Linked DNA regions of Elephas maximus indicus. The protein of the gene in region 2 purifies or fractionates together with the protein of the main gene of each other region. This does not show direct contact. Links are inferred from orthologs where the notes say so. Each region holds a gene or a part of one and is shown on either strand. Other genes may lie near its edges.

Evidence for each region.
Region 1: the proteins of SUGT1 (region 2) and CEP97 purify together in Homo sapiens (affinity purification with mass spectrometry; 3 studies listed by BioGRID and IntAct, with this or other methods). This does not show direct contact. The link is inferred for Elephas maximus indicus from reciprocal best matches to the Homo sapiens genes SUGT1 and CEP97.
Region 3: the proteins of SUGT1 (region 2) and NOD1 purify together in Homo sapiens (affinity purification with western blotting; 3 studies listed by BioGRID and IntAct, with this or other methods). This does not show direct contact. The link is inferred for Elephas maximus indicus from reciprocal best matches to the Homo sapiens genes SUGT1 and NOD1.
Region 4: the proteins of SUGT1 (region 2) and PHLPP1 purify together in Homo sapiens (affinity purification with mass spectrometry; 5 studies listed by BioGRID and IntAct, with this or other methods). This does not show direct contact. The link is inferred for Elephas maximus indicus from reciprocal best matches to the Homo sapiens genes SUGT1 and PHLPP1.

Annotation. Positions count from the first base shown.
Region 1 is NC_064836.1:72,577,842-72,585,691, reverse strand, and holds the start of CEP97 (centrosomal protein of 97 kDa), read right to left. Parts: upstream 3,016-7,850; 5' UTR 2,954-3,015; coding exon 2,911-2,953; intron 389-2,910; coding exon 246-388; intron 1-245. UniProt on the Homo sapiens protein: Acts as a key negative regulator of ciliogenesis in collaboration with CCP110 by capping the mother centriole thereby preventing cilia formation. Required for recruitment of CCP110 to the centrosome.
Region 2 is NC_064832.1:40,446,078-40,453,393, forward strand, and holds the start of SUGT1 (protein SGT1 homolog), read left to right. Parts: upstream 1-4,303; 5' UTR 4,304-4,456; coding exon 4,457-4,494; intron 4,495-4,575; coding exon 4,576-4,633; intron 4,634-7,316. UniProt on the Homo sapiens protein: May play a role in ubiquitination and subsequent proteasomal degradation of target proteins.
Region 3 is NC_064826.1:91,809,786-91,816,743, reverse strand, and holds the start of NOD1 (nucleotide-binding oligomerization domain-containing protein 1), read left to right. Parts: upstream 1-3,939; 5' UTR 3,940-4,083; intron 4,084-6,958. UniProt on the Homo sapiens protein: Pattern recognition receptor (PRR) that detects bacterial peptidoglycan fragments and other danger signals and thus participates in both innate and adaptive immune responses.
Region 4 is NC_064829.1:71,052,381-71,060,178, forward strand, and holds the start of PHLPP1 (PH domain leucine-rich repeat-containing protein phosphatase 1), read left to right. Parts: upstream 1-4,797; 5' UTR 4,798-4,877; coding exon 4,878-6,099; intron 6,100-7,798. UniProt on the Homo sapiens protein: Protein phosphatase involved in regulation of Akt and PKC signaling.

The DNA.
Region 1 (7,850 bases), on a different chromosome or scaffold from region 2:
TCTTAGCAACACAACATTTTGCCAACATAAAATGTTTTCTTTTTTTAACAATTCTTCTTTTTCTAGTCCACCCTAGATGTAGTACATACGTTTTCATCATTATGAGAAACTGGTAAGTAAAAATTCAAGACATTTACTGCTTCCCAGGCCTGCAGAGTTATCTTCTATTTGGTGATTTTATTGTTTTGTTTTGTTTAATAATAAACTGGTCCTGTGTAACTATTTCCCCAGAGAATAACACTTACCTGTATTAATCGTCTGCATTTCTCAAGATTTTCCAGTTTAATAATCTGGTTTTTATCCAGAATCAAAGTATGGATATCAGCTTCACAGGGCAAGTTTAGACCTAATTTCTGTAGTCCTTGCCCTGACCAATTGACTACTGAACCTTGAAAAAGAGAAGGGACATTGTTGGAAAACACAAATAAAGCAAATACAACAGCTGAACACAAGGATGAAATTATACTTGCGAAAAACCTATACATTTAGAGTCAGAAAACACTGTTGTTGCTGCTCCGTGGGTCAAGTTGATTCTGATTCATATGAGTAGGATGTCAAGATTCTAAAAGTAAGCCCATCTTGAGTTCAAAATGACCAGACTGAAATTATTCACTTTTCCTTAGAAATAAAACAGTACAACTAGATTTGTGATTTTCTGTTCAAGTTTCTATAACACTTTGGAATTCTGCACATTTATATATGAACTATTACATCTATATGTTATAACTAAATAATAGCTTTTTAAAAAATGAAGTGAAGTTTTTATAAAGATCAACCTGCTTATAACCTAACTTCCAGCATATTACCCAGAACTCAAACTATTTTGAAAACTATAGTTCGGTTCTCTCAGGAAAAAGGCAGCCAAGACAAAGGCTATTAACCAAAAGAAGCCTTTTACTAAGCAAAAGCCTCACCAGCCTTCTTTTTACTCCATAAATGCCTTTGCGCATACTGAGCCAAAATTGCTTTCCTTTCACATTTGGAAGACTATATGGATTATGATCCAAACCAGAACCATTTTCACAGTGAAAGGTGATGCTAAAAATCATATTGTCATATACTGAAATACTGATTCTTAAATTGGTTTTATTTGTGGGCCTATTCCAAAACTATTTTCAAAAATAAAAGTATTTCTTAAAATATAAAAACAACACACCTTGTACATTAAAGCAAAAAAAACTTAACTATATTATTTACACATTAAAAATAAAATTAGCAGAATATATTATCTAAATATTCTACAATATAAATATTAGTTTTGTTGTTCAAGTACTTTAATCATTCAAGTACTTTTTTTTAATTCAAGTACTTTAATCAGTTTTCTTAGCCATATTTCTTTCTACAAATGTGTCCCTAGTGTTTTTTCAGAGGAATATACTTCTTCAATATGGCTTTGTTATTATTGTTATCATAAACTTGTCTGTAAACTTCAAAGTTGCATTTAATCTGAAATTTTTGACAACTTCAAAAAAAAAGTATAGTTAATTCATCTCTAAAATGAGGACAATACACCGATTTCACTAGGTTGTATTAAAAGAGAAGCCATGTGACAAACACTTAGTCCTGTTCCTGGCCCACAAACCATACAGCATTCAATAAAGTAATATAACAGAACGTTCAAATCCTGGCTCCATCGGGTTACTCCACTGTGATATCTTGGGCAAGTTACTTCTTTTGGGCTCACTTGTCTACTCGGTAAAATGGTGATGATAATACCTGCCTTATCATGTAGTTCTACACAAAATGAGATAATGTAACAAAAGCACTTGGAACATCCTCTGGCTCATAAAAATTGCTCTATAAATGTTAACTGCTATTACTGTCAGTAAATTGCCTGGGTGGGCAGAGAAGGTGGAGTTTAACAGAAGTAGATAGCAGTGGGGGGCGGGGCCAGAGAAACTTGTAATTTCAAATTTATACCCAGATTAGGACTGCGAGAAATAATTACGCTAAGATTGCTCCCTGGAAGGTTTCAACGTTTTTCCGCGTCTAAAATGGCGCTTAGCATTTGGGGGGTCATGGACTCCTCTGGGAATCTGATGCAAGCTATGTACTGTCCCAGAAAATGCCCACTCTTTGTTTGCACACCATTCCGAGGGGTTTGCCAGACCTCTTAGAACCATCGGGTCACCTCCCCCCCGCCCCGAACAATTTACAGGTCCCAAATAACGAGCCCCTGGTCTAAGCCCTGGAGATGGGTCCCGACTCCCTGCCCTGACCCCGATCCAAACGGCTGCTGAGGAGCCTCGGAGCGGTAACCAAAACAAAGGAGCTCAGCTCACGCCTTGCGCCCCAAAGAGGTACCTCCCGGCCACAGAGGCACCCACCCCCCGAGCTCTGTTGAGCGGCGACCAAATCCGTTCCCAGGACCCCGTATGCGTAAGGAGGGGTGGGAAACTGGGGGCTCTGGATCACCCCCTCCCCCCCATGTTATCACGGCCACCGTTCCCTTCTAAGGAGGGGTTCAACGTCAGTGTAGGAAAAGGTGTTCCGTGCAGTTTCCTGAACGTTCTAGAAACCGAAGGGAAAGAGGGACATGGCAGCGAAAAAGGAGATCCTGCCAATTTCATTCGCGGCCCCGAAACACAAAGCAAACGTCCAGGAAAAGACACCGCAGCCCCAAACCCACCAACCCCCCGCCCCGGCAGCACGGGAGCCGAGGTGCGCGCGCGCGCGAAGGCCCCTGGGGTCAGTAGTCCCTCGCTTGGCCCTCGCCGGGAGGCCGGAGGGCTGGACAGTGCCTGGTGACTACAACTCCCAGAAGGCAGCGCGCCTCCGCGACGCCCACAGCCGCGCATCAAAAGACCTGGTCCAGAACTGTACAGCTAAACCCGGGCTTCCCCTCTCCACCAGACAACTATTTAATTTGGCTCGGTAAAGTTTGGGACCCAGAGGTAGGGACCGCCTTACCTTCTCCCGAAGGCAAAGCCGCATCGACGCGCGCCACCGCCATACTTCCCGCTTGCTAATAATACCAGGCAACCGTCCTGCGGCCACTCCTGTGGAGCTTGTAGGCAGGAGGAGGGAGCCGGAAACTACAACTCCCAGGATGCACAGCACCCAGAAGACCTAATTGGCTGTTTAAACTTAACGGAGTGAACCCAGGGATTAGAAACTGACCTGTAATGAGCTCCGGAACACTGGTCCACTCCCTCATTTGACAGATGAGCAAACTGCATTATTGGATAATCATTTCATGCCCCTTTTCTAGGTGTTAGCGAAATTTGATACTTTTACCATCGGGATGATTATAAAGAAGCTACTTAATGTAGTCTGAACTTGAGAGCTCGCAGAAGTCTTGTGGGGACAGTCCCCACTATAGGAACGACTTCAGCTGTCTTATGATAGTCAAATAGATACATTTTATAAGAATTTAGCTAAGTAAAAGGATTTAAAGCATATCGAGATAGAAACTTTTTTACAGTATTTTTGAGCGGTTGTTTTCGAGTATTTAACAGAACTTCTGACCTGGAGGTACATTTAATAAGTATGAACCCAGAATTTTTCCAGGAAGTATTCGAAAGAAATTTGAAATGTATATAGTCTCCAAACTGAAGAATTACACTGCCTATGGGGGTCGCAATGAGTCAAAATCGACTCGGGGGCAACCGGTAGTTGGAGGGGGGTTGGCTCACACTTTTATTAGAATTGTTCCTTGCTAAATGGTTTTAAATGGTATGCTTGAACTAGGAACTCAATAAGGTTGTGGCGAAGGACAACTATAATCTTCAGGGAAGATTTGATGGAGGAAGTGAAATCGATCTAGGATTTAAACGTTGAGTAGATGGTTTTTGGGTAGAATCTGAAGTCAAGAAGTAGACAGTTGAAAAAACATGCACATAGGCTGCAGGTGGCCATGAAGCTGTGCTCATAGGAAGTGAGAAACTAACCTGACAGCACCATAGACTATATTAAGGGAGCTTCCACTTTCTACTACTAACTCACTCACTCCCTCTTTTAATCTTTATTCTGATCTCATCTTTTCCTGAAACTGTAATCTCCAAAGTCTCTGATAATTTCTCTTTGGGAAAATCCAGTAACTCATCCTTTTAGATTTCCAGGCACTTGATTCTATAAGCATTCCCTCCTTCCTTGGTTCTCCTCCTATCTGACTGCACCTGCCTTCACTGTTTTTGCTTTTACTGTTTCGTACTGTTTTAGTCTGAAGACAAATGTCCTAGTTCTGAAGAGGAAATTGAGTAGGATTTTTTTTTCCCCTGTAACCTAGAGACCCTTTACCTAGAGAGCACAGACTTACTATATATGAATACAGCAAGCCTCAGTGCTGCCTCCTTTTAACTCTTGTTCCCTGGAATGAGCAGTAAGGATTGAGGAGAGTCTCTAGCCCAAAGAGAGAGGGTTTACAATTCACTCCACTTTAGAGGCTAACGACTTGGGAGAGGAGTTCCTGCAAGTCTGGAGGGTACTTGAAGAGCACAGGATCCCACAAGTTTACAGCAATAACTGAAGCAGAGTTTTGATCGGTTCATCTGCTCTGGTGTTCTGAGCAAAGAGCCAAAGGACTCCTTTTCTGGGGCTAACCAATTATAATCATTAATCTTGAAGAGAGTGAACAGGTGTTCCCAGGGGCAGATTACCCAGTAAGCAAGGTAAGCATGGGCTTATTTGTGCTTACAAATAATTTTTTTTTTTAAATTGGTCACTACAAATTACCAAATAAGCACAAATAAGCCCATGCTTACCTTGCTTACTGGGTGAACTGTCCTTGTGAGGGACTGTAAATTTGAAAAGAGGCCTTGATTCTCTAAGAAGGTGCTGTGAGTTTGAGAGAAGGACAGATTCCAGCCATAACTAGAAACAAAAACTGTTTACAGATGATATAGTAAGCAAGGTAAGAACAGAGCTTACCTTGCCTATTGGATAATCCACCCCGGGTGTTCCTGAGCAAGGCCCCATGTGCCCAAGTGACCCAGCCACCCTTTAAAGTGACAGCACAGAAACTCTTTTGTACTTCAGATACAGCTTTTACATCAAAAATCAAATTACTACACTTAAACTAAATTGCATTGTCTTCTATATATGTTAACACTTACAAGCCCCAACCAATTTAGGAGATTCTAATAACCAACACCACTATGAACCCCTTGGCAAGGTAGCATTTCTTTGACAGGCCCAGGCCCACAAGGAAGACTTTCCTTTTTGCCAGCACAGCATACCTGATCCCTGCTACAGCTGATCGCCTGACTCGTCTCCCCCATCTCTAATTCATCCTGCCCACTGTTACTGGCATGATCAAGGTAAAACAATACCTTTCATCATGTTACTCTTTTCCTCAAACATATCCCACTTGAAATTCAACTTCCAAAAACCACCATAATCTGGCCTCACCCTATTTCCCACTGCTAGTTTTCATTAGGTGTTTTTGAGTGAGGGATTGACATAATGAAACTTGTGTTTTAGAAGGGTTAAACTGATCGTGTAGCAGGATGGACAAGAAGGTACAGACAATCGTGGCAGGAAGGAGACTGTTGTAATGGTGAGTGGTAACCTTCAACAAAGCAGCTTCAGTGGAGTGTTGGGACATAAGTTAGGTAAGATGAATATAAGAGAGGAGGAAGGCAGGGTACTGAAACCACAGGTTTGGACAGTGCAGTTTACCTTGTCGAAATAAAGGTGGTTTTCTAATCAGGATGAGAACTTGCATGTGAAAGAAGTATAATAATAACTTCGGAGTTTTTAAGTTTTAAAACTAGGATATTATTAATATGAAGAATTTTATCATTGTAAAGCTTTTGAAAATGTGCCAGTTTTTCTTACAGTAAAAAAAAATCCTTATTTATGCAAAAGTTTAGGTGGATAAAATTGAACATTTTCTTCTCTGGTTAGTATTTATTGGTAGCCTTTTATGGTTTGGCTTCCTTATCTATGATCTCCTGAACGGAAGGAGTTATTGCCACTATGAAATGTCTATCTATGGGTTATCTACCCGTCGCCGTCAAGTTGATTCCAACTCATAGTGACCTATAGGACGGAGTAGAACTGCCCCATAGGGTTTCCAAGGCTGTAATCTTTACAGAAGCGAACTGCCACATCTTTCTTCCGTGGAGCAGCTGGTGGGCTCCAACCGTAGACCTTTTGGTTAGCAGCCAGGCATTTTAACCACTGTGCCACCAGAGCTCCGCAGGTTATCTAGAAGCCCCAAATGAGTATTCAATTTCCTAATATTATTATCATAATTATGATTTATCTTTTTTTATGTGCTAGGCTTTGTAATACCTATGTTGCATATATTACCTCTAATTTTCACAAAATCACTGCAAGAAGATCCCAAGAAGTTAGGGTTGCCAGCTGTTTAATATGAGTATCCTTAAAGCCACTCACCTATGGTATTTCTGTTACAGCACTAGGAAACTAAGACACAGTGTTTTGCAGATCTCAATGCAAGGGAAGAAAAGTTTCCATATTTCAAAATCCATTTAACTGTGCAATTGAGGAGCTTTTACCTAACATTCAATTGGAAGTGATTAATCCGATATGCTAACAAAGCAATCAAGAGAATAGTCGAATTCTGTAATTGCCTTCCAAGAGATTAATGTGTTCGATTAAAAGTATATCCCTTGAATTGACATCAGAATTGGGCGGTACTGTGTGAAGATGAAGGGTATAGGACCTCCTCACAGCTCAGGATCAACAGATGAACATTTGCAACCCATTTTGATGATAAAAAATAATAATAATAATAGGGAATAATAATTTTGAACCCCAATTAAGCAAAATGTTACTCACCACTCCAAAAAAAGAATTTTCTTCTCGTTGGCATACCAGGATTACAAAAATATATTTATGTTATATTGCAAATATGTTTACATATAATACATCATAATATCGATGTCTAATTTCATCAATGACAATTTTGTGGAAATTATTTTCTCTTATTAAATAAGTACCTATGTGATATTCTTGATTTCGCCACTTAGCCTGCAAAGCCTAAAGTATTTCCTATCTGGCCCTTTACAGAAAACATTTTCTGAGCCCTGTTCCGTTGTTAGCTGCTGTCAGTCTGCTCAGACTCACGGCGACCTTGTGTATAACAGAAGGAAACGTTGCCTGGTCCTGCACCATCCTCACGATCATTGGTGTGTTTAAATCCATTGTTGCAGCTATCATGTCAGTCCATGTCATTGAGGGCTTCCCTTGTTTTCAGTGGTTCTCTACTTTACCATGATGTCCTTGTTTAGTGCTTGGTCCTTCCTGATGACGTATCCAGAGTAAGTGAGTCAAAGTCTCACCATTCTTGCTTGTAAGGAGCATTCTGGTTGTATTTCTTCCAAGACTGATTTGTTCGTTTTTTTGGCAGTCTGAGGTATATTCAGTACTCCTCACCGATACCGCAGTTCAAACCCATCAATTCTTCTGTCTTCTTTTTTCATTATCCAATTTTCAATGCGTAGGAGGCTTTTGAAAAGACCATGGCTTTAGTTATCAAAGTGACAACTTTACTTTTTAAAACTTTAAAGAGGTGCTTTGCAGCAGCTTTACCCAAATCAGTATGTTACTGTGTTTGATTTCTTGACTGTTGCTTCTGTGGACGTTTACTGTTGATCTAAGTAGAATGAGATCTTTAACAGCTTTGGTTTCTTCTATAGGAAGTAAAATCTGAGTAGGAGTTAGCCAGTGGGAGGAAGGAAAGCTTTCTAGCCAAGAGGACAGCTTGGGCACATGAGCAAGAACCAATAGGGTATGTCAAAAAACTTAAAATAACAGTTATGTGCTTTGTTCCCTTCACCTTTGTGAGCCAATCAGTAATACCAGTTTCTTCCAGAAGATGGCTCCCTTTATTTTACTATGAAAAATTTCTGTCAGAAAAGTTGGCCAACTTGGTGAACACC
Region 2 (7,316 bases):
TGTAGAACTATTTGTTGAAAAACTATCCTTTCTCCACTAAATTCTCTTTACATCTTTCTCAAAAATCAGTTGTACATATACAAATGGATATATTTCTGGACTCTCTATTTTCTATTGATTTGTGTTTGTGCCAATACAAGGTTGATAAGTCTTGAAAACAAGTAGTGTTAATTCCGCAAATGAGTCCCTTGGTGTTGCAAACGGTTAAACACTCAGCTGCTAACTAAAAGGTTGGAAGTTCAAGCCCACCCAGAGGTACCTTGGAAGAAAGGCCTAGTGGTCTACGGAAAAATCAGCCACTGAAAACTCTATGTAGATACATACATGGGGTCTCCACGAATTGGAGCTGACAGCAATGGGTAAGTCTTTGACATATTTGTTTGAATTTTAGAATTAGTTTGTCAATTTCTAAAAGAAAAAGTCTCGATTTTGATTGGGATTGTGGTGAATTTATAGGCAATTTGGAAAGAACTGACATCTTAATATTGCATCCTCTGACCATGAGCAGAGTGCAGCTCTCAATTAAGTATTCTTTAATTTCAGCAATGTTTTATAGTTTAAAATGTACAGGTCTACACATCTTTTGTCAGATTTACATTTAAGTATTTAATATTTTTTCATACTATTGTAAATAGCATAGTTTTTAAAATGTCAAATTCTTGTTTGCTGATTTTATTTTAAATATTTTTTCCCTATCATTGAAGTTTAATTTTTGTAAAGTATACAGATCTTAAGGGTATAGCTTGGTAAGTTTTTACATATGAATACAATGGTGTAATTATCACCTGCATTAGGATACATATTTCTAGCATCCCAAAAAGTCTCCTCATGCCCCCTGCCAGTCTTGAGATCCCCCACTGACGTCTCTCAATATAGATTTTTATCTTCATATAAAGAAATTGGTCATGATATACTGTCTATAGTTTCTTTCACTCAACATTATATGCAATTCATCCATATTGTTAGTGGTAGTTCATTCTTATTAATTGCTATGTAGCATTCTATTTTGTGATTATAGCCCAATTTATTCATTCTCTTATGAATATTTACTTCCAGCTTCTGCTACTGTGAAAAATGCTGCAATGATCATTCTTTGGCATGCTTTTTGGTGAACATAGTACTCTTTTATCTGAAAACATACCCCACAGAAGAATTACTGTGTGTATCTTAATAGGGTATATGTATGACTAGCTTTAGTGGATAGTGCAGAATGGTTTTCTAACATGGTTATACCAATTCACATGCTCACCAACAATATATAAAAGTTATTGTTTGTCTATATCCTTGTCAACACTTGGTATTGGAAGTCTTTTAATTTTAGCTATTCTGGTGGTAATGTTTAGTATCCTGTGATTTTAATTTCCCTGATACAGCTATTGATGTGGAACTTCATTTCATACCCATATTGGCCATTTAGGTAACATCTGAAAACAATGTAATTCACATTAACACATTAATAAAAAATATTAACATTCCAATAAAGATAGAAAAAGCATTGGATATTGCATGCTTTCTCCCTGATGTTACAACCAGAGGTGCCTCGCAAGAAAGGCCTGGCAAGCTACCAAAAATTTAGCCATTGAAAACCCTATGGAGCACAATTCTACTCTGATACAGACATGGGGTCCATTATCACCAATTCTATTCAACACTGTAGTGGACATCCTACCCAGTGACAGAAGGCATGAAACAGAAATAAAAGGTATAAAGACTGCACAGGACGAAGTTAAACTATCTTTATTCACAGATGACAAGATTATGATCATAGAAATTTCAAAAAGAATCTACAAAGTATCAGAAATAAGGAAAATCAGCAAGATGACTAAATATATGGCTAGTTAAAAAAAAAATTAAGGAGTCCTGGTGGTGCAAGGGTCAGCGCTCAGCTGCTAACCAAAAGGTTGGTGGTTTGAACTCACCCAGCAGTTCCTTCGGAGACAGACCTGACAATCTGCTTCAGTAAAGACTACAGCCTAGAAAACCCCATGGGGCACTTCTACTCTGTTACAAGGGGTTGCTATGAGTTTAAATCAACTTGAGGGCACCTAACAACAACACAACATGCAAAAATCAACAGGGTTGCTAAATACCAGCAACGAATAAGTAGAAAGTAATTTTAAAATGTTCTTTAAAATAGCACTAAAAACCCCAAGAATAAATCTAATGAAACGTATTAATTAATGAGATAGTCACATTGCAATCTATAAAACATTGCTGAGAGAAATTAAAGACCACTTAAATAAGTGAGGGAGTATACGGTATTCATGGATTGGAGAATTCAGTGTTGATGTCAGCCTTCCCCAAACAGATCTATAGATTCAATGCAAGCTCGATTAAAATCCCCACACACAAAAAAATTTTTTAAGCTACATTAACTTAAGACAGTGGAGTATTGGTGCAAGGTTAGACAACTAGATCAATGAAATGGAGAACCTGAAAATAAACCCACATATATATGGGCATCTCCAACAAAGGTGCCATAGGAATTTCGTGGGGAAATGACAGTCTTTCCAATAAACAGGGCTGGGTCAACTGAGATAGACCATATTTGAGATAGATCATAAACCTGAATGTAAAAGTTAAAATAAAGTTCTAGAAACTTTATTCAAGAAAACAGAATAGCTTCATGATTTTGGAGTAGGCAAAGCCCTCTTAGCTGCCTTTTCATTCTCTTAATACTGTGTTTTGGTAGTATGTCCAAGTGTCCGCTGGGAACCTTAGAAGTACCTTAAACTCAATATATCCCAAATAAAACTCATTGACTTTTCCTCACAAGTGTTTCTCCTTTTCAGTTTTCTAATTCAGCTAATCGTTATCATCTTTCACCAATTACCCAAACCAAAAACTTGCTTCCCTCCCAATTTATTAGGCAAGCCCAATTAGTTTCAATTACCCCACACATTTCTGGAATTCACACCCTCCTGACCATTCCTACAATCACTGAAGTATTTCAGTCTCTTCTTTGGCCTGTATTACAGCTGTCTCCCAACAAGTGTTCTTTTTCCCTTTAGTCATTCTTCCAGTATACAGACTAATGTACTTTAAAAAGGCAAATCTGTTATTACTTCTTGATTAAAAATCCTATAACGGGTTAACACTAAAAAAAGTCACGTTCAGGTTAAACATATCAGACCTGGCCCTTTATGACTTGGCACTTACCTACCTCTCCAGTTACACTGTCTGGTTTTTCCATAATTTTTGACCCTACCAATTTCAGAGCTCATATTATCGTTTTCAAACACAAGTCCTATTTCTTCTGTCTTAACCGCCCTTCCCACTTCGTTCATCGACTCTCAGTCATCCTTCAAGGCTGAGCTCAGGCATCACATCTTTGAGGAAGCTATTCGTATACCTCATATTCGGCTAAGTGCCCCTCCAGGCTATGATACGACTATGCTCCTTTCATATTCGCACTGAGAACAGAATTGGTTTAAGCCTCTTGAAAGCATTACCATCTTTGAATCCCAGAGCTTAGTTTAGATTTTGTATGTTGTAGACACTCAGCAAGTTCAGTTACTTGTTTAACTCTTACTAAGCCATTCCACTTCCCTCTCCTGTCCCGTGGAACTTGCTGGAAGCTTCTCATCAGTTTTGCAGGAATTAAAGAGCAGTGGAGAAGGCCTGCCGGACCTACTAGGCTGGAAAGCAAACCAGCACACTGCCTCAGGCTACGTTCCCCTCCTCAGAGACTTAGGATGGGAAAATTTCTCAGTTTGAGGAACCGAGCAGAAGAATGCCTGGGCTGCTGGCGTTTTGAGAGTGGAACTGTATACCCGCACCGGGACAACTTAAGGCAGGAACCAAAAACCTCCTCCTTTTCTAGCTTCTGTTAGTGCAGAGCAACTTCCGGCGAGTTCCACCCGGTTACAGTTTCCGGAGCAACGTTCCTAGAATGGACGCGCCATCCGGAAACTCAGCTCCGGAAAAGAATAGGCGGAAACGAGATAACGTCATGGGTTACGAGCGGCTCGACTGCGTGCGGTAGCCATGATAAAGGAGATCAATGTAGCTTGTATTAGTCATAGACTTAGAAACGCCTCCAAACGCTACAGCTACAGTTTTTTGAGGGATAGCAAGCAGTACGTTACAAGGCTACTTTTTAGTCACCACCCCTGAAGGTTCTATTAGAAAGTGCGGGCAGTCTTCGTGGTGTAACAAAGTGCGAACGTGCATACCCGAGGCTTCTCCGTAACCATGGCTACGAGGGGCGGGGAGGGGAGGGAACTGGGCGTGCTTAGGTCACGAGACCCGGGGGGCGGGCCGGGAGGAATCGGTCCTCCAAGATCCCAGCCGCCCCGAGCCCGCTTTTTGCCTCCCTCCCCGCTAGCCGCACGCTGCGTGGCTGCTCGTTGGCTACTAAGGACGGAAGCTCGTTTGGTGTTTCTCCAGAAGTTTCCTCGCAGGGCGGCGGTGGAGCTGGTATCCTTGGTTTTCAGAGTAATAGTAACTCCTAGGGATGGCGGCGGCTGCTGCAGGACCTGCAACACCTCAGAGGTATGTGTATTTTTTTTTACTTTTTTTTGAGCGTCCTTTTCTTGGTTGTCTGTCCTGCTGAAGTCGTTGTTTTCCTGGCAGGTTTTTCCGGAGCCTCTCAGATGCTCTGATCGACAAGGACCCACAGGCGGCGTTAGAGGTGAGAGCCGTTCTCTGCCTTTTCGACTTTGCTTTGGAGAACCGGGCGCGTTGGTTTCTGGCCGACTCCGCCCCTTCCTAGCACTGTCTTCCTTGGGCGGGGGTTGCTGTTTTTACTGTGTCTCAGCTCCAATATTGAGAGCCTCAGTCTCTCCTTTCTCTGTCCCCACAGTGGCTCCGGTGTCCCAGGCCCTCTCCTCGGCCGTCCCATTCCTAGATTGCCTGCATCTCCGCAGCTTCCTAGAAAGTATATTTTCTCTCCTGTTTTATCCTGGTGGTCTAAAAAAATTTTTGTCATGTGTGGTTGGAAGAGTGAGATGTGGGCTTGGTGAAATAACTTGTTACGGTTTTTGATTTGACACTCTTTTTTTTGTATTATTACGTACCAGGCATCGTTAAGGGCCTTTATGAACTCACAAAAATTTTGTCTTTGTCCCTAGAATTTTCGAGATGTCCTGTGTCTTAGTTTTTTGGTGCTGCTGTAACGGAAATATCACGCGTAGGTGGATTTAAAGAACAGACGTTTATTATTTTTTTTTTTTTACAGTTCAGAAGGCTAGAAGCCCAAATTCAGGACACTGGCTACAGGGGAAACCTCTCTCTTAGTTCTGGGGGAGATCCTTGTTTCAGCTTCTGTACACATTGCTATCCCGTGGATTCCGAGTCATAGCGACCCAGTATGACAGAGTAGAACTGTCCCATAGGGTTTCCAAGGCTGTGATCTTTACAGAGGTAGACTGCCACATCTCTCCCTCAGAGTGACTGGAGGGTTCCAACTGCTGACCTTTCGGCTAGCAGCTGAGGCTTATCCACTGCACTATTAGGACTCTTCAGCTTCTGTAGCCCCAGTTGTAAGTTAGAAGTCGTTAGGTTTAGGACAAACTTTACACTGATACGGTCTTGTTAACATAAAACGGTGTTTACAAAGAGGGTTACATCCACAGGGATAGGGGTTAGGACCCCAGCACATATTTTGGGGGACACAATTCAATCCATAACACCTTGTCATTCTTTTTTCTATACATCTCATTTTTTTTTTTGGCGGTGGGGGGTGGGGGGCGCTGCTGTGTGCTAAGCATAGACTTGCTTACAAAGCTGTCTCTGTGCAATGGAAGACGATGTGCAGCTGTAAAGAAGCAAGAATTAAATAATGATAAAAGAGAACACAAGCTAAGGCTACCCGATGCAATGTATGACAAAATTTAGCTGGGAGTTTCTTGTCATCCACAAATAAAAGGAAACTTTATTACATTGCTGTAGTCTAACTTAAGCAATGTTAGCAATTTGAGGCAAGAGAGCCTCTTTCCTAGCTATGACTTCTGAAAAGAATTTACCATGTAGGTGGTCACTAGGTCCTCTCTGAGGAGGTGACATTTGAGCAGAGACTTGAAGGAATGAGGTAGTGAACTTGAAAGCTCTGGTGAAAGAGCATTCGAGGCAGGAAGAACAGTCAATGCAAAGATCCTGAGGTAGGAATAAAGTCGGCCTGTACCAAACCAAACCCACTGTTGTTGAGTGCATTCTGGCTTATAGCAATCATGTAGGACAGAATAGAACAGACTGCCACCTCTTTTTCTCATGGAGTGGCTGGTGGGTTCGAACCACCAACCTTTTGGTTAGCAGCCAAGTGCTTTGACCAGTGCACCACCAGGTCTCCTTTGGCCTGTACAAGGAACAGCAAAAAGGCCCATTGACAAGAGTGGAACGAAAGAAGAGATGAGGTTGCAGAGGAAACCAGGGGATAGGTATCTTAGGGCTTTTTAGGTCAAGGATTGCTTGAATTTCTACATAACGACCTTGAAACTAGGTGATTGATTAGTCTGTTGTGTTATAATGTTTCACAGGGAGGCTTCAGGAATCCGTATTGGAATAATGTTACAGGTGGTACTGAGAGTTTATCACCACAGTTCTTGTATTAGTTGGACAGCTATTAGTTTTTGGAATCTGTATTTGTTATGGTCCTCTTAGGTGCATGGCTTCCTATGGAAATCAGGTTACTTAGAAATTGCTTTTAATGAATTTCACTATCATTTTCCATCTTGCTTGAAGCAGTTACACTCTGTAACACATGGGGTCACCATGAGTCAGAATCGTCGCGATAGCAATGGGTTCTTTTTTTTGTTTGTTTGTTTTCATCTTGTTTTACTTCTTTTAAAATTTGTTGTTGAGAATATACTCAACAAAACATACACCGATTCAACCATTTCTACATATGTGGTTCAGTGACGTTGATTACATTCTTCAAGTTGTGCAACCATTCTCACCCCCATTTTCTGAGTTGTTCCTCCCTTATTGACATAAACTCACAGCCCCTCTTAGGGGGCTCTTTCAAGTTGCTGTTGTCAGCTTGATTGCATATACCTAGTTCCTAGAAGAGCATAATGCTCAAGGCAGACATTTTTTAATAGTTAAACTCTTCTTTGGTTTGAAGAAAACTTCAGGGGATATTTTTGGTTTGAGGTTTAAAGATTATCTCAGGGTGGTAGTTGCAGGGGTTCGTGGAAACTTTATGGCTCCAGAAAGTCCAGAGTCCATGAAAATTTGAAATCCTGTTCTGCCTTTTCCCCCTTTTGATGAGGATTTGTCTGTGCAATCTTTGCTCAGAACATTCAGTTAATGGTAGCTGGGCACCATCCAGTTCAAGGAGGCAGTTGTTTATAGAGGCATTTAGCCACACGTGCCAT
Region 3 (6,958 bases), on a different chromosome or scaffold from region 2:
TTTTTTTTTATTAACTTATTGAGCTTCAAGTGAACATTTACAAATCAAGTCAGACTGTCACATATAAGTTTATATACATCTTACCCCGTACTCCCACTTGCTCTCCCCCTAATGAGTCAGCCCTTCCAGTCTCTCCTTTCGTGACAATTTTGCCAGCTTCCAACTCTCTCTATCCTCCCATCCCCCCTCCAGACAGGAGATGCCAACATAGTCTCAAGTGACCACTTGATATAATTAGCTCACTCTTCATCAGCATCTCTCACCTACCCACTGTCCAGTCCCTTTCATGTCTGATGAGTTGTCTTCGGGGATGGTCCCTGTCCTGTGCCAACAGAAGGTTTGGGGACCATGACTGCCGGGATTCCTCTAGTCTCAGTCAGACCATTAAGTATGGTCTTTTTATGAGAATTTGGGTGCAGTTGCTTTTTTAGGAAACACTTAGGTGTAGATTTTATAAAACACGTGCAAGTCTTGTATCCTGAAAACTGCAGAACACCGATGAAAGAAATAAAAGGGTCTAAATAAATTGAGAGACATACCATATTCATGGATTGGAAGACTCAACATAGTAAAGAGGCCAATTCCCCTCAATTGATATAAAGGTTTAACTCAATTCCTATCAAAATTCCATCAAGGCTTATTGTAGATATAGACGATTTTTTCCTAAAATTTATATACAAAAGCAAAGGAACTAGAATAAGTAAAACAATTTTGAAAAAGAAAAAATGTAAGGAATCAGTCTACCCAATTGCAAGACTCTGTGACATTGGCAAAGGGATATACACATAGATCAATGGAACAGAACACAGACCCCAGAAACAGGCTCACACAAATATGCCCAAATGATTTTTGACAAAGGTTAGAAAGTAATAGAAGAAAAGTAGCTTTTTCAACAAATAGTGCTAGAGCAGTAATTGGACAGTCCTAGGTATATATTTTTTTTAGGTATATACCCCAAACAACTGTACTCAGATACGTGTACACATATATTCATAGCAGCCATGTTAACAATAGCCAAAAGATAGAAACAACTCAAATGTCCATCAATGGATGAATAGATGAACTGATTATAAAATGGAGTATTATTCAGCCATAAAAAAGGAATGAAGTCTGATACATGTTATAATGTAGATGAACCTCAAAAACATTATGTTAAGGGAAAGAACCCAGACATAAAAGTTCACATAGGACTATATGTTCGGTTATAAAGGGACAGCATGAAAGATCTTTGTAGTGATGGAAGTGTTCTGTATCTCGACTGTTACTGATGTGCATGTTCTGGTTGTGACATATTACAGTTTTGCAAGATGTTATCATTGGAGGAAATTGGGTAAAGGGTAAACAGGATCTTTGCATTAATTCTTACAACTGCATGAGAATTTAAAATTATCTCAAAATGAAAAGTTTAAACAAAAAACTTTTTTATGAAATATTTTATAAAAATAAAATGATGGAATCACAAATAATAAGAGACTATTAAAAATGACCAGGAAGCCACTGGGTGGTGCAAACAATTTAGTGCTTGACTACTAGAATAAGTAAAACAACTTTGAAAAAGAAGAATAGAATGTGAGGAATCAGGTTGGTGGTTCAGACCCACCCAGAGGGCCTCAGAAGCAGGGCTTTGAACCAGTTCAGTCATGGCTAATGAAATGAAACTGGAACAGATCCAAATTTTTACAATTTGGGTGATCTGGAATGATAACTGGAACTGGAAAAATTATGGGTCAAAGCCCTGAAATGGGAGACTCAGAGGAGGTGTAGTGAGCGCCTTCAGGAGCCTGATGTGTGAGACTGGAGTATTGGCAGGACTGTGGTAGTGATACACATTGAAAGCGGCAAGGCCGGCTGCCATCTTTGAGCAGGACACTGCTGTTTCCAACTCTGCTCAAAATCCAACTATCAAGAGATTTGGTTGCCGTGCAATGCAAACATGGCCTTTGTTTCCTAAGAGGGAGATTACCTTCTAGCAGGGTTTTGACTTGTAATTCCCGTTCAGTTTCACCAAAATTTTTACGAACTTTGAGTCTGTTACAGTTTTGCTTCCTCAGCCAAGATTGAACTAGGAAGAACCAGTTCAAAGACCTTCTTGGAAGACAGATCTGGCAATCTCCTTCCAAAAGGTCACAGCCTTGAAAACCCCATGGAGCACAGTTCTACTCTGCACACATGCGGTCGCCGTGAGTCGCAATTAACTCGATGGCAACTAACAACAACAGTACTAAACTCCAAAAGTGTCAGCAGAGCATAAAAATGACCAGGAAAACTAGAAATAAAGCAAAAATAAAAAAAAAATTATTAGAAAGTAAATATATCATTGATGAAACTAAGAATTTAAGTGGCTGGTGTTGGTTCTTATTGCTACTATAATAAATTACCACAAAGGTAGTTGCTTAAGACAACACAAATTTATCTTACAGTTCTAGAGGTCAGAAGTCTGAAAATGGGTCTCCCTGGGCTAAAATCAAAGTTTCAGTAGGACTGTGTTCCTTCTGGAGGCTTGCATTCCTCACAGAGGCTCTAGGGAAGAATCAGTATCCTTGCCTTTTCCAGTTTCTAAAGGCTGCCTGGATTCCTTGGCTCATGGCCCCCTTCCTCCATCTTCAAAGTCATCACTGTGGTGGAGTCCTTCTCAGGCTGCCATTTCTCTTGTTCCTTCTTCTGCCTACCTCTTCCATTTATACGGACCTTTGTGATTTTTTTTTGTGTGTGATTATATTGGCTCACCCTGTTAGTCTAGGTTAATGTCCCCAATCTCAAGGTAAGCTGATCAGCAACCTGAATTCTCCATTGCCATGTAACCTTATTCATACATTCTGGGCTTAGGGCATCTTTGGGGTTGGGGAGCATTATTCAGCCTATGGGTTAAACAGTAGGTTCAAATATCTACAAAATAATTAATGAACTAAAAGATAGAATTTAAGATATTACTCCAAATTGAGCCAGAGAAACAAGGAAATGGAAAATCTGTAAGAGGTTAAATAAAAGGTATGGAAGATAAAATTCAGAATCCTAGAAGAAAAATGTTTTTTATTTTTTCTATCAGAGGCTCATATAAGGGTAAACTGGGCGATATAGTATCTTTTGATTCTTTATTTTGGGGTTCGCAAGTTTGCACATTGCATACTATCAATTTCACTTTCAGTTATGAACAGTCTTTCCTTTTCTCAGAAGGCAGCCTTGGATGGGAAATCCAGTCTTCATGAGTATGAGTAATAATATGACTGAATGTACGTCTTTAGTGTGAATAAGTGAGTGAGCTTTTTGTACCATCTTTAGGCCTTATGTAGACTTCCACCATTTAGAACTTGAAAGGAAAAAAAAAAACTATTTTATTGGGGAAATTTATTAATACGCTTAAAAAAATATTTACAAGTCATTACAGTTTAATGTATAGAATATACAATATATCCTGCCGAGAACAGATTTAAGAGAGGAAGAAAAGTTTAGATTTTAAAAACTATAAATCGAAGCACATGTTTTGTTATAAAAAGATGATTTTTCTTAGCTAGTTTTCATCGGGGAGCCTGTGGTACGTCTGAATGTACCTGTGAGGAGCCGAGTTTCACGGTCCTGCCTAGGCGTTGGCTCTGGTTGCAAGTACTGGGCTGACATCTTTTGGGGGATGAGCCTGAGCTCGCGGCGGCCGCGGCCGAACTGGCTTGACGAGTTCCCACTGGGATTCCAAGTGTGTCACCTCTGGGCGAACTCCTGGGCCTGCCCGCACGTCCTGCGCGGTGCCGCTAGTCGTTCCAAATCCGGCACAAAGCACCTCTTAAGACTGCCGGAGGCAACTTTCTGCGCTCCGCCTCTCCCGCTCCCGGCGCAGGCCGGGCTTTCACCTCGGCGCAGCTGGCAGAGGCTCGGGGGTGTGGTCAGAGGGACTCGGGGGCAGCTCCCAGTCCCGCCAGTTCCCTTTCCGGGCCAGCAAGGCGGCCGCACTGGCCCTCCCCCTTGCGAAGCTGCTGGCGCGGCGCGTTCTGAGGCTTCGGCTCTCCCAGGCCTCTGCGCCCCAGGCTTGGCGCGCTCCCCGGCGTCCCTCGCTCTCCCAGCAACTGCGGGCTCTGCAAACCTGGCGGCCAAGTAAGCTCCAGCAAGTTAAGTCTCAGGGACTGTGGGGTGGAGGTAGGAGATGGGGGATTCGCGCTGGGCAAAAGTTTTCAGAGTTACTGGGCATGGAGAGCGAGGGCGCGCCCAGGGGGCGGGATCCTGCGAGCGGGCGGAATGCGACGCTGCTCTGGGAGAGGTCGGGTGGAACAAGGCAGAGACACCCGGAGTTTGAGGAATGCAGCGACAGTTCAGAAGGATAAACGTCGTCGTCAGTGGAGTCGTTCATTCTACTGTGGTCTAAGGCGGGGATTCTCAGCTGTGGCTATACCTTACAATCACCAGGAGCGCTTGTAAAATCTGGATGTCCAGCCGCAGCCCAGACCAGCTCCATCTGAATCTCTGGGAGTGGGACTCAGGCCTCTGCATTATTTAAAGCAACCCGACTGATCCCAATGTGCAGCCAGTCTGGGAGCCAGTAATCAAAGTGTGACCCCCGAGAGAAGGTGGAAAGGCAGGGCAGGGGCCTTGATTCGAGTCCAGCCTGAAGGCGCGTCGGCCGTTCCCAGCCTCTAGCTCGGCCCGGCCCTCGGGACTTGGGAGCAGACACACCCCCTGGGTTCCCAGGGAGCAAAGAAGGGGGATAGAACAATGTTTGACAGGGTCGCCTGAACATCATGTTCAAAACAAGCCCCAGATATGCACACAAACTTAAGGCACATTGTGAAAAACATAAGGAATGATGGATAGGTTAGGTTGCCACATTGTTTCTGCATGCTGGGAAACGCCTTGATTGTTGGCATTTGAAATTAAGTTGGTGGAAACCAGTAAACCCATGGCCTTGACAAGAGCTAGGCTTTCTATTTAAGGATGAAGGTAGAGGGTGTGCGTGCTGCAGGGTCAGGTTTACCCCTCCTTTTTAAAGTCCTGTGTTGAAGATATTCCACGTCCAGAGAACTCTACCATAAATTTTGGAGAGGTGTGGACATCACAGGGTGGACCCTCCCTGTGCCTAGATGCTGGGGGCAGATAGCTGTAATCCAGGCAAGCAGGGCCACCCGACAGACTATTACTACATATGCCAAGCAGCTAACACCCCCAAAAAACAAACCCATTGCTGTCAAGTCGATTCCCTCTCAGAGAGATCCTATAGGTCAGAGTAGAACTGCTCCATAGAGTTTCCAAGGAGCACCTGTTGGATTTGAACTGCCGACCTTTTGGTTAGCGGCCATAGCTCTTAACCACTATGCCACCAGGGTTTCCAAGCTGCTAGGAAAGGTGGATTTAAAACAACAGAAAAGTGCTAAGAGAGGACCTTGAAGGGTTTTGTTTTTGTGGAATGTAGGAATAAGATCAAGCTTTGCAGCCCTTCAAACTTGGGCCCATATTCGGATTCCATCACTTGTGAGTTCTATACGTGACCTCGAGTTAGTTACTTGACCTCTCCCAGCCTCCTCTTACGTGTAAAATGGGGATATAAGTAGTTAAGAGGCTAAGATAGGTAAATGAGATCATGTCTATCAAACTCCTCGCTGGCACGTGATGGCTGCTTTGTAAGCAGTAGCTTTCAGCCACAGGAGTGGTGATGTGTGTCTGACAATGTTTATTTAGTGCAGCCACTGTGAGGAGGAGTGTTTGCCCAGAAAATGCCTCCCTTGAAGCTCCATTCTCCTCGTCTCCTGTCTTGCAGCCTCCGCTCAGAGGAGGGCACCATAGTTTCTTCCTCTTCCAGCCTCTGGGTGCTTTGAGGTCTGGAATCTCAGTCCACTAAACTCACCGACTCATAGTGACCCTATAGGACAGAGTAGAACTGTCCCATAGGGTTTCCAAGGCTCTAATCTTTATGGGAGCAGACTGCCACAGCTTTCTCCCATGGAGCAGCTGGTGGGTTTGAACCACTGAACTTTTGGTTAGCAGTCAAGCACTTTAACCACTGCGCCACCAGGGGTAGCTTTTCCTTTTCTCCCATAACCCCTGGAGGGCTTGTTAATGGCTCTGGATACAGTTTCATCCCATGTGACAGGAATGGATTTCTTGATGAAAAAAATTGGCCCTTGTTCTTGAAACTCTCCACCCCACTGCGATGCATGTCAAAAAAATGGGCTCCCATGAAATCTAGGCTGTCTACAGGGTTTCCGAATTGATGTGGGCCCAGGTGGCACTCCTGCCGGCAGCTCCTCAGACCATGTCCTTTCTGTTTCTGTTTCCACTCATGTCTCTTGGCCTGAGGAGCAGTGAGAACTTCTGCAGTGACCAAGAACAGTCAGGAATCTGGGGAAGGAGGAACTCATCCTTCAATTGCTCATGCCCGTGCTCGGCTCAGCCGTTTACCCTGGTACCTGCCATGTGTGTCGTTGGCACTCATTAAGAGCTGCTTGGTCATTTTGATAGTAGCAGCAGCACTGATTAGATTAGACACTGGAAATGTAAACAGTGTAGTAATAAAGGTATAAAAAAAGTCAAGTGTTTTTACAATGTATGTGCAATAATCACTAATACTTAATATCAAAATCTTTTTAAAATCATTTTCATCAAAAGAAAAAAAGTTCCAAACTCTCTGTACTTGCTGTGTAGTTTTTCTGTGAAGCTAAAACTGCTCTACAAAAAAAGTCTGTGAAAACAAAAACAAGCAAACAGAAAGTTTGAATATTTGTTCAAAATCTAAGCCAACCTAGGATTTCAGGTCTAAGTTACCAGTTTCTTCTATGCTTCTTCCATTTTGGGGATTTTAGGCAGGATGGGGGGGTAGAAGCTGAAGTTTGTACTTGTGCTGAATTGCGTCATGCAGAAGCTGTAGGGATTTTCAAGTTTGCTAAAGTAGTGTTTTCCTTTATCTTCTGGAGAAAGTTGTGCTAAGGGCCTCCTTTCATTCTACCTCAAAAGCCTGAGCTTGTTTCTAGGAATACTCCTC
Region 4 (7,798 bases), on a different chromosome or scaffold from region 2:
TTTTTTGGTATTGTTTACTGCTGGTGAATGAAGCCTGCACATACTTGTATGACTGTCCCTGGTAACCTATATTGTAATGGGAAGTGGGTGGACTACATGGCCTCTATTGCTTGGTCTAAAATGTCATTATTGTGACTTACAGAACATCTATTTACTCCTGGAAGGCAGGATGTGAGAAATAAGAAAAAGGCAAAGAATTGTGGAATTAAAACAAAAAAGGGTGCCCTAAAATCTGAAAAGCTATCAAGTCAGAATTGACTCAACACCAGTGGAAGATGACAGTGGCAAGCTAAACTCTGATAAAGTGCAGATTATAAATTTGCACTTTATCCTGCCAGTGAGCAGAGAACAGATTAATTCAGTTTGGCCACCTGGGGCCCATCTCGGGCACTAGAGCAGTAATTTGCTAAATGGGTCCCTCACAGTAAAACGGAATGAGTAAATAGTGAGCAATTTAGGCATGGTAAACCACTAGTAGCTCAAGGGACATAAAAATGTGAAACTATAATTAGATCCCTTGTTCATAACGTACTAACTAAATGTTTTACATCGTATATTGCATCTTTCTAAGTTTATTTCTGGACACAGCTGAGCCCTTAACAATTTAGAGTAAAACCATCCAGCCATCAATTCATGTTCCCATTAAAACTCAAACCGCTTATCTCAGGAAAAAAAAAATTCCAAAGATGGTTTACTTTTATCTTAGATCTAAGGATACAAACAGGATTAACTTAGACGCGGAATACAGCAAGCCAATTATAAATCACACAGGATAAAGTAAACTGGCAGTAAATTGAAAATGATGTTTTTTTTCTAAACTTAGCAGTGAAAATATTTTAACAAGTTGGCATTGGGGTTTGCAACTTTTATATCTGCTGTTTCTTTTCAAGATGATCTTTATAGCATCTTAAGACGTGATTCTTTGAAAAGGGTGGCTAGTCAGAAACGTGGTATTACAGTGTACATTTGAAACACTTTAAAGGGGATAATCATGACTTACATGGTTTCAGAATACTGGCATAGTCCCCACTCTGTTTTAAGGAGGAGAAGCTGCTATTCCATGGGTGTCTGGAAGACGTTTGTCCTTGCTGATTCTTTCTTATTCAGAGAAGTCGTGTAGTGTAGGCTTGCACAGATGGTCTGGATGATGTGCCACGATATCAGCAAGCTCTAAGAACAGCTTCATTGCCCTTATCAATTTCTGCTATTTCAGCTACAAGGTTTCAGTTAATCTGGTGTTAAAAGTTGTCTTCTCTTTGCTTTTGTCGAATGCCATAGAGTCGGTTCTGACTTATGCTGTACCCTATGAATGACAAAATGAAACACTGCTGAGTCCTGCACCATCCTCACAATCATTGCTATGTTTGAGCCCACTGTTGCAGCCACTGCGTCAATCCATCTCACTGAGGGTCTTACTCTTTTTCGTTGACCCTCTGCTTTACCAAGCATGATGTCCTTCTCCAGGGACTGGTTCCTCTTGATAACATGTCCAAAGTACACAAGACGAAGTCTCGCCATTCCTGCATCTAAGGAGCATTCTGGCTGTATTTCTTCCAAGACAGGTTTGTTGGATCTTCTGGCAGTCCATGGTATATTCAATATTCTTTGCTAATACCATAATCCAAATGTATCAATTCTTCTTCAGTCTTCCTTATTCATTGTTTAGCTTTCACAAGATATGAGGTGACTGAAGATACCATGGCTTGGGTCAGGCACACCTTAGTCCTCAATGTGACATCTTTGCTTTTGCAGCAGATTTGCCCTTCCTGTTTACCCTTATCTTCCAGTATAGTAACTTCATTGAAGGTTTGGGGATGAAACAGGGAGGGATCACATTGTGGACCCTTGCCCTTCTTCATTCCCCTCAACTCTGCTTTTTCTTATCCTGGGTACAACGGAATCTGGGATCTTTCAGATTATGAACTCCATGCATGAAACCTAGCAAAATTGCATTCTACAATCTTCTTTGCCCCACCATAACCATTTTTTTTTTTTGAGTGGGGTAATGTATTTCCTTTTTCTTCATGCTGAGATACTTGAACAATATTTCCTTTTTATCCCCCCCCAATTTAATAATTTCTCATATCAAATCTTTACTTCTAGAGTATATGCTGACTCCTCCAAGCCCTCCCCTCTCCAATACTTTTGATGCTAAGTTCTCTGAGCAATGCTCCAACCTCCCCCTTTGGAGAAGGTGTTTTGGCTACAAATACCTTCAAACAATAAATAAAATTCTTAGAGGATAAGAAGATAGTTGTGTTGACTGTGTAAAACTAAATGACAGGAACCAGAGCTAGAATAAGTACAGTACTGTAATTTCTTAGAGAGGATGCTAATGGACATTGAGCCATTGGCAACTGAATTTATGACTAGAAGAAACTTTCTCTGAGCTTGTTACATTAGCTATAGAAGTATAACTCTAGAAAGGTGATATATGGGAGTTAATATTTACTTCTTAATATAGTAAAACTTAAGAGGTTTGTAGGAAATCAACTCAAGGACTAATGAATACAAAGATTCAGTGCTTTAGTACTGAAAATTAATACATGCTTTGGTTTTTAATCTTTTTAAAGGCTAGCTAAGTTAAAATACTGTTCTGTCCATTTCTAGAATACTTTGTGCTAGGGATTACTCAAGGCAAAGTCTAGGTAAGTGTAGCTGAAATTGATCTTCATATCATTACCTCTTTCTCTGCCTCTTTTCCTTCTTTAGGAGACCGACCCTTCAGCAATTACTCAGTTTCATTCACTCTAGCAAATTTCACCCAAAGTTAGCTCTCTATCCTCTGACTTCCTTGATTAGGTTAGTTTCCTTGTGTTACGCCTATTTTCACAATACCTTGTATTTGCCCCTTCCCCACACCCGTCTCACTGGTGGAATGTCTTTATTTCTAATTTATAAGCTTTATGACGGTAGGGACAGTATGACTTATTCAACTGCTGTAACTCATATATATGCTTATAATTATTTGTTAAAGTAATTCACTTGAATATGTTCTCCCTCACGGGAATTTGCATTCTCCTTAATTTTTACATGGAACACTGTGCTGTTGATTGGATTTAAATGGAATAAAAATTAGTTTTGTGAGGCCAAGGCATAAGATTTTAAAAGAAAAATATAGGAATGTCAAGAGTCATTCAGGGAAATATTTATTTTTTGTCCTGGTAGCTTTCTTTATTCCACTTCAGTGAAACTCTGTGGATAACCTAAATACAACTTTCTTTGCCCCCATCAATTTATGTGATTTCAACTTCAAGTTCCAGTTGATTCTTTCTTTCTTCCTCTCAAGTTTAGTAACTTTATTGAAGTTAATACGTGGGATAATACACAGTTGAAAACTATTTAAAAGTCTCACGTGTGAAAATCCAGATTTATAAAACAACCTAGGGAAACGGTAATTCAATTTAAAAGATTTACTAAATTCCTTTAAGTAGTAAACTGTCTTAGTCCAATTTACAGTTGTTTAAACTAAGACAACACAACTTTTCAGACCACAACTAAATATTGTAGTAGTACAAAAATTTTTTTTCCTCAGTGTCTAAAGGAAAAAATAAAACAGAACAGAGAAGATGTAAGAGAAAATATGGAAACAGCCTATCTAGTATCTTCCTCTTTCCATTGCTTTCTGTGTCACTGAGCTAACTTCAAACTTCAAGATCAGTGGGAGAAAACGAAACTAGCCTTTTTTTCTTGTCAGATATAGGAGTGGAGTAAGATGGAGTCGGGTTTGCGCGATTTTCACTAAGTACATTCAACAATTGTCCAAGTTAGGCTTTTCAAACACTCTCTTCCCTGGCCTTGAAAAAGAGGGACAAAGCGAGGCTGGTCCACTTTGATGGGCAGTTAGTTATTTTGTGGTGCTACAAGTTATGCTCGAATCTACCAGGTGCTCCTTGGAAACTCTATGGGGCAGTTCTACTCTGTCCTGTAGGGCTGCTGCGAGTCGGAATCCACTCCACGTCAACGCCCCATAGAGTTTCCCAGGAGCTCCTGGTAGATTTGAACTACCGCCCTTATGGTTAGCAACCGTAGTTCTTAACCACTACACCACCAGGGTTTCCTCCGACAGCTGAGAGTCCCTCAAAGCCCTCACTTTCAATTCGCAGGGAAAATAACAATCACCTGGCGACCGGAGTTGTGCTGAAAAGGCATACAGGTTAAACAACGGCCACGATCAACGTTCCCCCACAGAGCTCAACAGCAGAGGGCACAATACCCACTGTCCAGTGTCGGGCGGCCAGGGGCGGCGGGACCTAAGGATTGCTGGGGCTTGTAGTTCATCTTGTCACCCTTAGGTAGGCCCGTACTCAGGTTAGAACTACAACTCCCAAATAACATCGCGCGCCACTCTTGTCTCCCTCTCCCTCTCAGAGGCGGTGGCCGACCAGGCCGGGTCTGGAAGCCCCGGGAAACTACCGGACTCCTCATCCTTACGCACGCGTCACATTTGTTTACCTTGAAGCCCCGCCCCTGCCAACCCTGGCTCTCCCCCGGAGGCCGTAATGTCGGCGATGCATATTCATAAGGCCAGTGGGGGAGCCCCTGGCCCTCTCGCGGCGCGTGATTCATATTCAATGAGCCAGGCTTCGCGGCTGGCTAGCCCGGGCGAGGCGGAGCGGAGGCGGGGCCTGCACCCCGAGCCGGCGGCCGGGGCGGGGAGGGCGTGTGGCGGCGGCGGCTGGCGGGCGAGCGGGATGGAACGCCGAGACACCGGCGGAATGCTCCGAGTCGCCACATAATCCCACGGAACGGCCGCGCCGAACGCCATTGGCTTCGCGCTGCTCCCCGCGCCGCTGCCGGCTCCCGCCTTCGCCTCGCCGCCTCCCCCTCGGCCCGCCGCCTCCGGAGCTGGGGGGGAAACGCCGAGCGCCATCGCAATGGAGACCGCGGCCGCGGCGCAGCGCCTCCCCGAGCCCGGCCGGGAGGACCGAGCTCCGGCTTCAGCGGCCGCAGCGGCGGCGGCGGCGGCTCTGGTGGCGGCGGCCGGGGGCGGCCGGAGCCCGGAGCCCGCGCTGACCTCGAGCGGGGGGCACGGCAGAGGGGCGCGGGCGGAGGCTCCCACAGATGCGCAGCCGGGCAGGGCGAGCTGCACCGGGCGCAGGCGGCGGCGCGCGGCGCCCCAGGCCCCCGCCGGCGGGGCTCCCCTTGCGCCCGGGGCCAGCGGCGCCAACTCCCTGCTGCTGAGGAGAGGGCGGCTCAAGAGGAATCTGTCCGCGGCCGCCGCCGCCGCCTCGTCGTCGTCGGCCGCGGCAGTCTCGCGCTCGCCGGGCGCCGCCGGCCTGGCTGCCTCCTGCTCGGCCGCGGCGTCGCTGTGCACCCGCAGCCTGGACAGGAAGACGCTGCTCCTCAGGCACCGGCAGGCGCTCCAGCTGCAGCCGTCGGACCGCGACTGGGTGAGGCAGCAGCTGCGGCGGGGTTGCGTGCATGTCTCCGACCGCCACCTGGCCGCCGCCGGCCTGCGCCCGGTGCTCTGCACGCTGGACACCACGGCCGCCGAGGTGGCCGCCCGCCTGCTCCAGCCGGGCCACAAGGGCGGCGGCGGCGTGCTGAAGGTGCTGGGCAGGGGGACCGAGCCGCCGTGCACGCCCCCCGCCCGCCTGCCGCTGCCCTCGGGGGGCGCCGTGGACGGCGCGGTCGCGCGCGCGGCCTCCGACGCGGAGAGCTTCAGCCTGAGCCCCAGCGCTGAGAGCGTGGCTGATCGCCTGGACCCCTCCGGCGGCGGCGGCGGCGGCGGCTCCTCGTCGTCGTCCGAGGAGCTCGAGGCCGACCCGGGCCCGCCCCACCGCCGCTCCCCGCAGCCTGGGCCGGAGCGCCGCGCCCTGCCGCGGTCCCCGACGGCCTCCCCGCCGCCGCCGCAGCCCGGGGCCGCGAGGGGCGGCGACCGGCCTCGGGAGGAAAAGGAGGCCGCGGAGAAGGCGACCCCACCGCCCACCCTGTACGTGCAGCTTCACGGAGAGACCACCCGGCGGCTGGAGGCGGACGAGAAGCCACTGCAGATCCAAAATGACTACCTCTTCCAGCTGGGATTCGGGGAGTTGTGGAGGGTGCAGGAGGAAGGCATGGACTCGGAGATCGGCTGCCTCATCCGCTTCTATGCAGGTAAGGGATCGCCTGCTCTGGGGCGTGTGTGGTGTAAACACTGCTACGTACCGAAAAACGATCCAAATGTGCCGTTTTTTGCCCAAACCAAGGGGACACAGGTCCTGCTGAGTCTTTGTTGTCACTTTTCTACAGCTTTCAAGTACAATCTTTGTGACACTAAGTTGAGCCATTTTTAAATCCGTGAGTTTGAGTCAACCTCGAGGGCTCCTAGGTTGGAAAGTACGTGGAGCAGGTGGCAGGTCACCAGGAAGTACAGGAAGCGGATACCCCTGAAATAGACAACAGAGCATTGAATAGTAAAGGTGCTTTCTTGAGGCCTCTCCTCGTGGACATGTTGAGGTTGAGACAGTTTGGGATTTCAGGGAAACCATCATGTGCACATAAATACTGACAGAAGCAGCAGAAATACTCCAGAACACCCTCCTTAGGCCTGCGTGTTGGCAGTTTAGTATTGTCGCTCTAGGGATCCACCACCGTCAGCTTTTCCTTGTCAACTGATGCACTTGTTCTGCTCTTTGCCCTGCTTGTTTGCCCACCCGAGTCCTTATTAGAAACCTAGCCAATAGGGTCCTTTTTGGTAATACTTCTAAACTCCATTACGTATTTGCTTGTTTTTCAGTTTCCATTGCAGATTTTATTCTTGCATCGACAATGATTTTATGTGTTTCTCATTCTTTTTACAAGGCTTTGTCGTCGGAACTGACCATTGCTATATGACTTGCAATAAACTCAAAACCAAACCCATTCCAACTCATACCAACCCTATAGGACAGAGTGGAACTGTTCCATAGGGTTTCCAAGGGTGTAATCTTTATGGAAGCCAACTGCCACATCTTTCTCTGAGGGAGTGGCTGGTGGTTCGAACCACTGACCTTTCCGTTAGCAGCCAAACATTTTAACCATTGCGCCATTTAACCATTGCAGGGCCCCTTATGGCTTGCAGTAGGGTTCCAGATAAGAATGTGACCTAAAATCCTCCCCATTGTTTTTGCAGTCTCAGATAAAATTCTTGATTATGGGTAGCCAGTGTAAAGTTTCTCTTTGGGCTAAAGACTTGAGTGGCACTAAATTAGGGAGCTGTGGGTCCTAGTTGTTATATTTGAGCTTTGTAAGTTGTTTGGACCCTTTCCTTTCTTTGGATTGAAGAACGGTGCTCTTAGTGAGAAGGATTTTTCATTTAAAATAAGTTAGCACAGCAAAATTGAAAGAGGAGGGTTAAATCTCCACCTTTACTTATTCTGGGGTGTAGGTGATGGTGAGAAAATGATCACCTTTGTAACTCCATTAGGCTGTAGCCATTCTTTCAAATTTAGTATGTTTTTTTGGTCCCACTTGTGCCCTTGTACCAGTTTAGTCAGTTGGAATGACTAGACCTTTACTCCCACGCTGAAATATGCAAAACTTGTAGCATTCCTGGTGAAATGTTCATTTAAGTTTCATTGAAGTTGTTCTGAAATTCTTCAGTGGATTTCTGCCTTATGAAGAAAATCAAATCATAATATAATAGCATTTGCACTATGTGAATCTCATATCTCAGCTGGATGGCATGCCTTTTAAAGTTTATGACCCAGAAAATGGGTGATTTTTAATATAGGATCAACAGTTATATGTAGCTCATGTAATTTGTAAAACGTTACTTTTACAAAAGCATTTCATTGTAATCACACTTGGAAGGAGCATGTTTATTTTGTTAACA